Oryzias latipes: one gene and its partner. The protein of the gene in region 1 binds, or shares a complex with, the protein of each later gene. Links are inferred from orthologs where the notes say so. Each region holds a gene or a part of one and is shown in the gene's direction. Other genes may lie near its edges. The genes, in order: wrap53 and dkc1.

The links.
Region 2: wrap53 (region 1) and dkc1 share a complex: the UniProt entries of both Homo sapiens proteins name them as parts of the telomerase holoenzyme complex. The link is inferred for Oryzias latipes from reciprocal best matches to the Homo sapiens genes WRAP53 and DKC1.

The regions. Positions count from the first base shown.
Region 1 is NC_019876.2:6,272,866-6,277,226, forward strand, and holds the start of wrap53 (telomerase Cajal body protein 1), read left to right. Parts: upstream 1-1,391; 5' UTR 1,392-1,652; intron 1,653-1,831; 5' UTR 1,832-1,998; coding exon 1,999-2,197; intron 2,198-2,277; coding exon 2,278-2,434; intron 2,435-2,666; coding exon 2,667-2,762; intron 2,763-2,857; coding exon 2,858-2,966; intron 2,967-3,753; coding exon 3,754-3,842; intron 3,843-4,361. UniProt on the Homo sapiens protein: RNA chaperone that plays a key role in telomere maintenance and RNA localization to Cajal bodies. Specifically recognizes and binds the Cajal body box (CAB box) present in both small Cajal body RNAs (scaRNAs) and telomerase RNA template component (TERC).
Region 2 is NC_019880.2:47,727-52,080, reverse strand, and holds the start of dkc1 (H/ACA ribonucleoprotein complex subunit 4), read left to right. Parts: upstream 1-1,471; 5' UTR 1,472-1,547; coding exon 1,548-1,563; intron 1,564-2,291; coding exon 2,292-2,344; intron 2,345-2,411; coding exon 2,412-2,498; intron 2,499-3,013; coding exon 3,014-3,105; intron 3,106-3,175; coding exon 3,176-3,360; intron 3,361-4,021; coding exon 4,022-4,086; intron 4,087-4,354.

The DNA.
Region 1 (4,361 bases):
CTGTAACTGGACGGGTCGCCGGCACCATCCGCTGGAGTCTCCAGGTTTATCATTCCATCTGCGGAAGAGTTCAGGATTCGGCCGAACTCTCTCCAGCCTCCATTGGAGGAAAAAAAAAGAAGAAGATTGTGATGCACCTCAGTGTGGAACTACTAAGGTGTTCTGTCTTCGTTGGGAGGGGGGACACTGGAGGAACTCCTGCAGCCGTGGAGCCGGACGAACTGAAAGATTTTGTACAAAAAGAGAGAGGGGGGGGGGGGGGGGGCATCAACCCACACACCAACCCAAAGGTTCACACTACGTGCACACGTTCAGCAGAAGTCACATGGGAGGAGGCTCGGTTGTAACGGGGAAATCACCCAGACGGCGACGCTCGTCACTATAAACGCTGAGCTCTGTAAATAATGGATGTTTTTTTTTTTTTTTCCTTCAGTGGGTTTTTTGTTTTATTACTCTGTTCAACATGCCTTAAATTGTATAGTTGAGTCCCGAATGACTAACTGAAGTTTTCTCTCAATGCTAAGTTTAAGTTGGAAACTATACTCGAGCTACAAAAAAAAAGAGAAAAAAAAAGAGGATTGTCATCTAACTACATGTGCATTTGATCAACTTTACTAGTACAGACTAGAGCTGCAAATGTTTTTGATCTAAACTCTGCTGGTGGTTGGCTTTTCTTTTCTTTTTTTTTTAATTAAAGGGTGAATTTGTTGGGGTTTCGCTGAAGGCTCAAAAAGGGCTGACGTCTGTCGCGTGTGGAGCTGAGCTGACCGGGGGTGGCATGCCCCCCCCCAAAAGAAAAAGATTATGCACAAGAAACCAGTCCGGCTTTCTCACTTATGAATCTGATTGTAAGGTTTTTAGTCAACAAATTGAGTTTTGATAAAGAAATATGCAGATTTTAAATAAAAATAATGTTCCTGTAAATAATTCTAAATCCTCAATTTTGTTTAGTTTCCAGTTGCTAATGGTCTAACGTTTAAATAATGAAATTCCACTCAAAATCCATTTGTGATTAGGCAAAAATGTTTGTTTTCTGGGCTGTACGTCGCTTTTACTGTACTGGAAACTTTTGAAGTCAGATGAAGTCAGCTTGTGGCGTTCGCAACCTCCTCGGTTAAACGAACTTCAGCGAGTGACTGCGCCCCAGTCAGCTCAGCTCCTCTGCTTAAGTATTTTAATATAAACAAGAAATAATTAAAATTGTTTCCGAGAACAACTGAAAGATTTGTAAATAGTTCTGCTCCTGTTTGTTTGAAGAACAAAACAAATACTAAATAAATAGTATTTAGCTGTGGAAACGTCTTGTTTGTCGGGCCTCGACGCTCAGTAAACGCAACACTTTCAGACAACTCGACGGAACTCTCGCGAGACATCACGACGTGAGCCATTGGGAAATTGATGGAACTCTCGCGAGATTTAACAGACATCACATGGAAGACCTGTCTTTGCCTCTCACCATGAGCGCGTGAGCTGAAAGTTTCCGCGCGAAAGAGTTGCAGTTTTCACCGCCTCTGTGTGAAACATCGAAACCGCCGAGAGGATTTCTGCCAAACTGCGCGGAGAACTACTGCGCAGGTACGTAGCTTCACAGTGCTAGCGTCGGCTAAAGCTAGCCGGTGCTAACTGAAGTGTTAGTTTTGTTCAGTATGTTGGTAAGTTCACTTTAGAACAGACTGTTAGCGATAAACTGAAGTACTCGACACGTTTAGTGGTAGTTTGTGTCTTATTGAGTGAAAGTGCGTCACTAATTTCGGACTTAATCCACGTTTGGTGAGTGTTTCGCGTCACAACAACACAACTAGCTACAGGTGTTTGGGTTCTTCCCCTCCAGGTGTTCGGGTGTTGTGATGTCCACGAACCCCCGCAGACTCAAACACCCCCACTGCAGGAGGAAGCACTACCCCAGTAGTACCTACATCACCCACGTCTGACGGCTCCACCCGCGGACTCCACACCGACCGAGACGCTGGAGCGCGGCGGGGGGGTAAAACGGAGGCCATGTCTGATTTGGGGGATGGGTGTGAAAGCGGGGGGGTGACGGGCGCGGGGCAGGACTCTGAGGCGGACGGCGAGCCGCCCCAACCGACGGCGGCGGCGGGTGGAGAGGAGGGGGCCCCGCCAAGCCCCAAGCGGCCCCGGAGGAGCGAGGAGGAGGAGGATCAGGATGGGCAGGAAAAGCCCCCCCCGTCCGAACATGGTACAGTCACGTGACCATCTGACAGGTCTTCACGAGTTCAGCTTCAACAAGATTTCTTCTGCATGAACTTTTGCCGCCAGAAGGAGCAGAGGGGGCGCAGCAGGGCGGAGAGGAGGAGGAGGAGGAAGAGCAGCAGAGATGGGAGGGATGTCACCAGAATGGAGATCCAGAGGAGGAGGAGGAGGAGGAGGGGGGCAGGAGTGACAGATCTGCAGACAGCCCCACTGGAGAACAACAGTAGGTGGATCTGGAGCATGAACTGGAGTGAATACCCCGTGCCTCAGGGGCACGTTACCGTTGGGAGTGGGGTCATCTGGACCCCACAGGACAGCACAAGGGTTAAGGCAGATGAAGTTCTCGTAGACGTGTCGTACGCGGAAGATTTTTCATTTCTAGTTTTGGATTTTCTTCCTTTTTTATTTTTTTTATTTTTAAGGCGTGTTTGAAAACTGTCCTGCTTTGCCTTCAGCCTCGGCTTGGATTTTACCCACGATCCCCAGATGCTGACCGGCTCCTGGACGGAGTTCTCCAAGTTCACGGAGAATTACCTCAAAGGGTGCAAATGGTAACCCCCCCCCCCCCCCCCGTTCTTTGGAAAAAAATGGTCTAATCCACAGTCCCGGTAAGCGGGCTGCTGACGGACGCCGTCTCCTGTTGCAGGGCCCCCGACGGCTCCTGCGTCCTGACCAACAGCGCCGACAACGTGCTCCGCCTCTACAACCTTCCGCCAGAGGTGTACAGCTACAGCTGGGGGGCGCTCTCTGAGATGGTGAGTTTGGGACCCGTAAAAAAAAGAATCTGTTGGGGATTGCATTTAAACTCCAAATGTCCTCCACCCGTTGAGTTTGGCGGTGCAGCCTTTCCCGTCCGGATTACCGAGCCTCACCGCATCTGTAGTCATGGAAACCCGTTTGCACCCCTTTATTTTTTTCAGATCAAAACAAACAGCTGTCCACTCATCCCCGTGGAGAACTTGACCCTGGTTACCGTGGCAACAGATCTAGAACCTGTTGTGGACTTTGTCCAACCTCACATTAGCCTCAAAATGCCCTTGTTTCTGTCAAGCAAAATAAACCCCCCAGCCATGATTCTGCCACCCCCGTGCTTTACATAGGGAAGGGAAATGGGGCCAAAACAGAGTTTTTCAGTTGTTAAGAGGCTCAAATAAGGCTTTTGTTGATATTTTTGGGAGCAATTGTGTCTTTTTTTTGTTGTTTTGTTTTGTTTCACACCTGTTTCTCTGGAAGTCAAGTTTTCAGGCAGAAATTTGTGGAGAAAAAACACCGAAGGGGATAGAAGGACAGGAAGGAGGAGGTGGAGAAAAGGTTTTGGACTTTAAAAGAGTCTGAGATGATGGGACTAGAAGGAATTGGCTGTTTTGGAGGCATTTCCCAACATCTCAGGATGTCAAAACCCAGTTTGTATGATTAGCGTTTAACAGCTTTAGATTCTTTGTCCTCCGCTCTAGAAGGCGGAGACGTCGAATCACCTCGAACACGTGGAGCGAGCCTTCGTCATCACCTTTCTCTCCATCTCTGCTTGTCTTGTGGGCTCAGAGTCCGGTGCTGAGGATGGCTGAAGGAGACACCGTCTACGACTACTGCTGGTACCCCAACATGAACTCTGTGGAGCCGGACACGTGTTTGTGAGTTCCACGCCGGAGCCTGAAGGCAGCATTGATCACCTCTCGGTTGTGGCCCTCGCCACAGTCCATAAGTGTGTCGAGTCTAGCAGGTGTGAAGGCTCGCCTGAAATCTGGTCACTCAAATTCATCCCCCGTGGCCCACAAAGACATTCTTTGTGTTGGAAATTGCACCATGAAAGTATAAAATTATACTTTTTTTTATTCACTCTGACTTAAAAAAATAATTATTTATTGAATCTTTCCTTGATTTTTACCCAAAACAAAAGCTGTAAAAATAAAAACCAAAGCCTGCAGGTCCCAGAGATGTCCACTTGGGGGCAGTAAAAGAGCTGTGAGCAGGAAAACTAAGAAGTTTTTCCTTTTCAGTTTGAAGACAAGACAAAAACAGCAACAATTGGATATATGAACGCGGAGAATGTAGAGACCAAAATGAGGAAAAATATATAAGCGACTCCAAAAAAAAGATTTAGTATGAGGAAACAGAATCAGACGGGATCTGACCTAAAATGGATCCAGAAC
Region 2 (4,354 bases), on another chromosome or scaffold:
AACCTATACAGTGTCCTTGGGTGTTTTGAAAGGCCCTTTTAAATGTAATGTATTATTATTATTATTAAATGGAGCTTGGAAACTTCATTCTGGTCTCAGCAGTGTAGGAAAGAAATCTTTGCTTTTCAGTTCTTTCCATCCATGCATGTTCAGTAGTCGAGACGAGAGTGGTAAAGCAAACAAGGATTCAACCGGATTAAAAATACACGAAGTTTATTTCCCTGACAATAGTTCTAGAGCACAGATTAAACATTAATGCAGATATATCTGGATTCTCAAGTAAAGACCTACTGACGCACAAGTTACATGCGAATTACATGCGAATCGTAGATTTTCCTAAGAACAGTAAAGTCCGTCCAAAACAGTCTTTTAAACATGTGTTTGACACTCCTCCTTCTGAAAACATCATGACCACTGGATCTCCGCCCCGGAACACTCTGATTCGTCAGCCGGTATCCCTTGTGCTTCCACCGGCCAATAGCTGAAGGTTGCCAACTCCAGATCCGCTCGCCTTTCAAAGGGGCGACAGTGGCTCAGGTGGTTGAGCGGGTCGTCCAATGATCGAAGGGTTGGCGGTTCAATCCCCGCTCCCACCAGCCAAAATGTCGTTGTGTCCTTGGGCAAGACACTTCACCCTCCTTGCCTCCAGTGTGGCTCCACTGGTGTGTGGATGTGTATGAATGATCCCGGTGATGGTCAGAGGGGCCGTAGGCGCGAAATGGCAGCCACACCTCTGTCAGTCTGTGGCTGTGGCTACAACCGTAGCTACCATCACTAAGTATGAATGAGGAGTGAATGAATAATGGACACAATGTAAACGCTTTGGGTGTCTTGAAAAGCGCAGATAAATCTAATCCATTATTATTATTATTATTATTTCACCGGCGCACACAATCCAACGATCAAGAGTCCTCATCTGGTCCAAATAAATCCTACCAGCCAAACGGATACTCCATCACCGGCACGTGATCAGAGGTCAGCTTCATCCTCCACATGAGAACAGGAATCTGAACACTTTCCCTAGGATAAGATGTTCAACCCAGATAGTAGAAATGTAGTCCATGACATATTTATTCCATCTCTGGAAACTCCTAGATTTGCACAAAGAAGTCCTAGTTGCTGCTGCAACTACAAAGCACAAGTGAAGGTCACTGGAGAATAAGTCCTGATGAGTTCACTTCACACTAAAGATAAAGCTGTAACATAATGAAGAATAAGATATTAAAACATACATTTTCTACAGCAGTTTCCTTCAGAAACAGATCTTCATAAATGACATTCATTAAGTGTCTCTTTGGGTTGGAAGTTCGGGAAATAACCTTCTTATTTTATAAGTCTTATTCCTTTTCTGAGAGTTTGTCAGTGCCCGAGACTCTGGATGAATAAAGAGCCTAAACCCTGGTTAACTAGTTTTTCGGTAATCCCAATACATGAGAGGAAATCCAAAAGCTCTCTAGCCCCGCCCCGGATGTGGCTCGATCGTCTTCCGGTGCTCGTAGACCAAAGAATAAGAAGGCGGACGCTCGCACGCAGTCACTTGGAAGAAGATGGCGGAGGTTGAAGGTAAGGGCGACCCACGTGGTTCTGAAGTTTTGCCAGAATCAGAACCGCTACCCTTAATGCAAAATCAACACGCCCGCACGGCGTTACTGACGCAGTTCCCATCGCACGCGCGGCGCGTTCTGCAGAGCAGGCCGCGCACCAAAGCAGGCCGAACCGCGCCACGTGCGTCCTGCTCCGGGCGGCCTACACGATAAACCGGGTCAGATTCGGTTCGCTTTTGGAGGTCTGCTACTTCAGGGGTTGAGCGCTTCTTTGGATTCCCGCCCCGCGTGGTCCTTCCAGTCCACGTGACGTGCAGGAAACGCCACGTGCGTTGGGAATAAGTCGTTAGTTTTTAACAAACACCTGTTTGATTCAAATGTGCGCGCGCCACAATCAAAATGGGAAACACAATTAGGTTCTGACTAGTTTATTATATGACAGTTTTTGGGTCGAACGGATCAGAGCCGAACTGCAGTAAAACGTGGCTCCGTTTCATGTCTGCACCGGTTCTAACCGGTTTACGATCAGTGCAAACGTTTCCACCTGCGGGGTCTCCAAAACGGTCAAAGATTTTGTTGATGATTCGAGACAAAAATCTACGAATTCAAGATTTTTAAGGATCCATTGAGATGACTTTAGCAGTAAAGCAGCCCCAAAGCATGATGCTTCCACCCCCATGCTTCACAGTAGGTAAATGGTGTTCTTAGGACGCCACTCCACTAATCTGCTGTTCCGTGTTTCTGCAGTAGCATCTGTTAAAAAGAAGAAAGGGAAGAAAGTCTGCGATGAAGAAGTTGGGGTGAGTGATGTTGTCTGGAGTAAAGGTAATCTCATGGATCTGCTGGAGCTGACTGTTTGTTTTCCAGGAGATCCAGAGGAGTGCTGACTTTTTCATCCAGCCAGAGTCCAAGGCAACATCTTTAAACACATCACAATGGCCCCTCCTTCTCAAGGTCAGCTCCACCTCGACCCCTGCCTGGGTCATGTGACATGTTGGCAATGTTGGTGTGACATGATGAAGCAGTTTATCCATTCTCTGAGCACTGCAGTCTTGGCGTTTCTTTGCCCGTCTCCATCTTTGGGGCCTGGTCTCTGCTGGTCACCAACTGTGACCTGGCGTTCTGCCAGGTTATAGGAGGTGACCGTGTAGAGGTGGAAGCGACCAGACTGTTGTCAAGATGATGCTCTGCTCTGATCACACGCCGCCTTGAAACAGGAAATGTGTGAGCAAACAAAAAAATGGCTATGTGGTCCAGGCTTCACTATCCGGCAGTGATTCAGATGGCTACTTTTTGGAGAGTATGTTACGAAAAAGTAGTACCAGCATGGGGTCAAAGGGCATGAGAATATTTGGGCAACCTGGTACTGGGGTTGGTTTCTCCCTTAGACAAAAAGCTAATTCAGGATTTAACGCCAGGTGTTCGCTTCGGTTGGTACATCGACCTCAAACTGTTTCCTGTTTTGGCAGAACTTCGATAAGCTGAATGTGCGGACGGGCCACTACACTCCCCTGCCCAACGGCAGCAACCCCCTGAAGAGGAACATTGCAGATTACGTCAGGTACATTCACGTTGCGTAGGGTCAATGCTATGACGCAGATTGCATAATGACACTGCCTCCTCTACTTAAGGTCTGGCTTCATCAATTTGGACAAGCCAGCCAACCCATCATCCCATGAGGTGGTTGCGTGGATTCGTAGGATTCTGCGAGTGGAGAAAACTGGACACAGTGGGACGCTGGATCCCAAGGTCACTGGCTGCCTGATTGTGTGTATAGACCGTGCCACACGATTGGTCAAATCGCAGCAGAGTGCAGGTACGGGTCCTGAGGGTGTCTGGCTGGGTTTTGGGCTTCAGGTCTGATTGGCAGATTACAATCACTAAGACCTGAGAGGGGATGGGTCTGATCCAGAACTAGAGCTGAGGATCCAAAGGCTTTTCTACTCTTCATTCTCTTCAATGTCCCCCTCCACTTCATCCGTACTGATCTAAACCAGACCCCCACAAATCTGTTTCTATTTAGTTTTTGCTTTATCTAAAACTGTGAATTTTAGTCCAGACAATGAAGATGGAAAAGGACACTCTAGCTTTAATAAATGAAAAGACAAAAAACGGATACTGATGATCCGAAATCAAACCTTTTGCTGATGCTTTAGTAACGCATATGGAAGCACGGGGGTCATTTCAGCAGCAGGCCATCTCTGACCGCCCTGGTCCACGTCAGGACGTTTGCTGAATATTTTTGTGCGCGCACACCTGGCTGCTGCAGTCAGCTGGCCTGACGTCTGTCTTTGCAGACACCATGTGACCATGGGTCCGCTACAGAGTCAAAGTACAAGGATCTGCTTCTGTCACCGGGCGATCCTCAGTCTGCCAGCACTGTGTGATTGGCCCACTTCACCTAAGCACTGGTTCCTTTAGCTGCGAGCCATTTGGGAGCCGTTGATTGGTTGAAGCCTGACTGTTCTGTGTTGCAGGTAAAGAGTATGTGGGGATCGTCCGGTTGCACAATGCAGTGGAGAACCAGCACGCTCTGGCCCGGGTAAGTCTGACCTGATGATCCAGTAAGAGCTTGCCTTAAGCACACACGGCTGAGGCTTGAGGTTCTGGAAGGTCTTGCATTTAAACCCTCCAGAGTAAAATCCTATTTCAATTCTTTTTTTTTTTATTGCAAACAAAAAGAGAATTGTTACATACATGAAATACAATGAAACAAAGAAGTGGTTTCATTTTGTGCACGGAGCCTCTTTGTATTGAAAACTGAAGGTTGCAGACATGAATGTGGGTCATTTAATCAGGAACAACATATT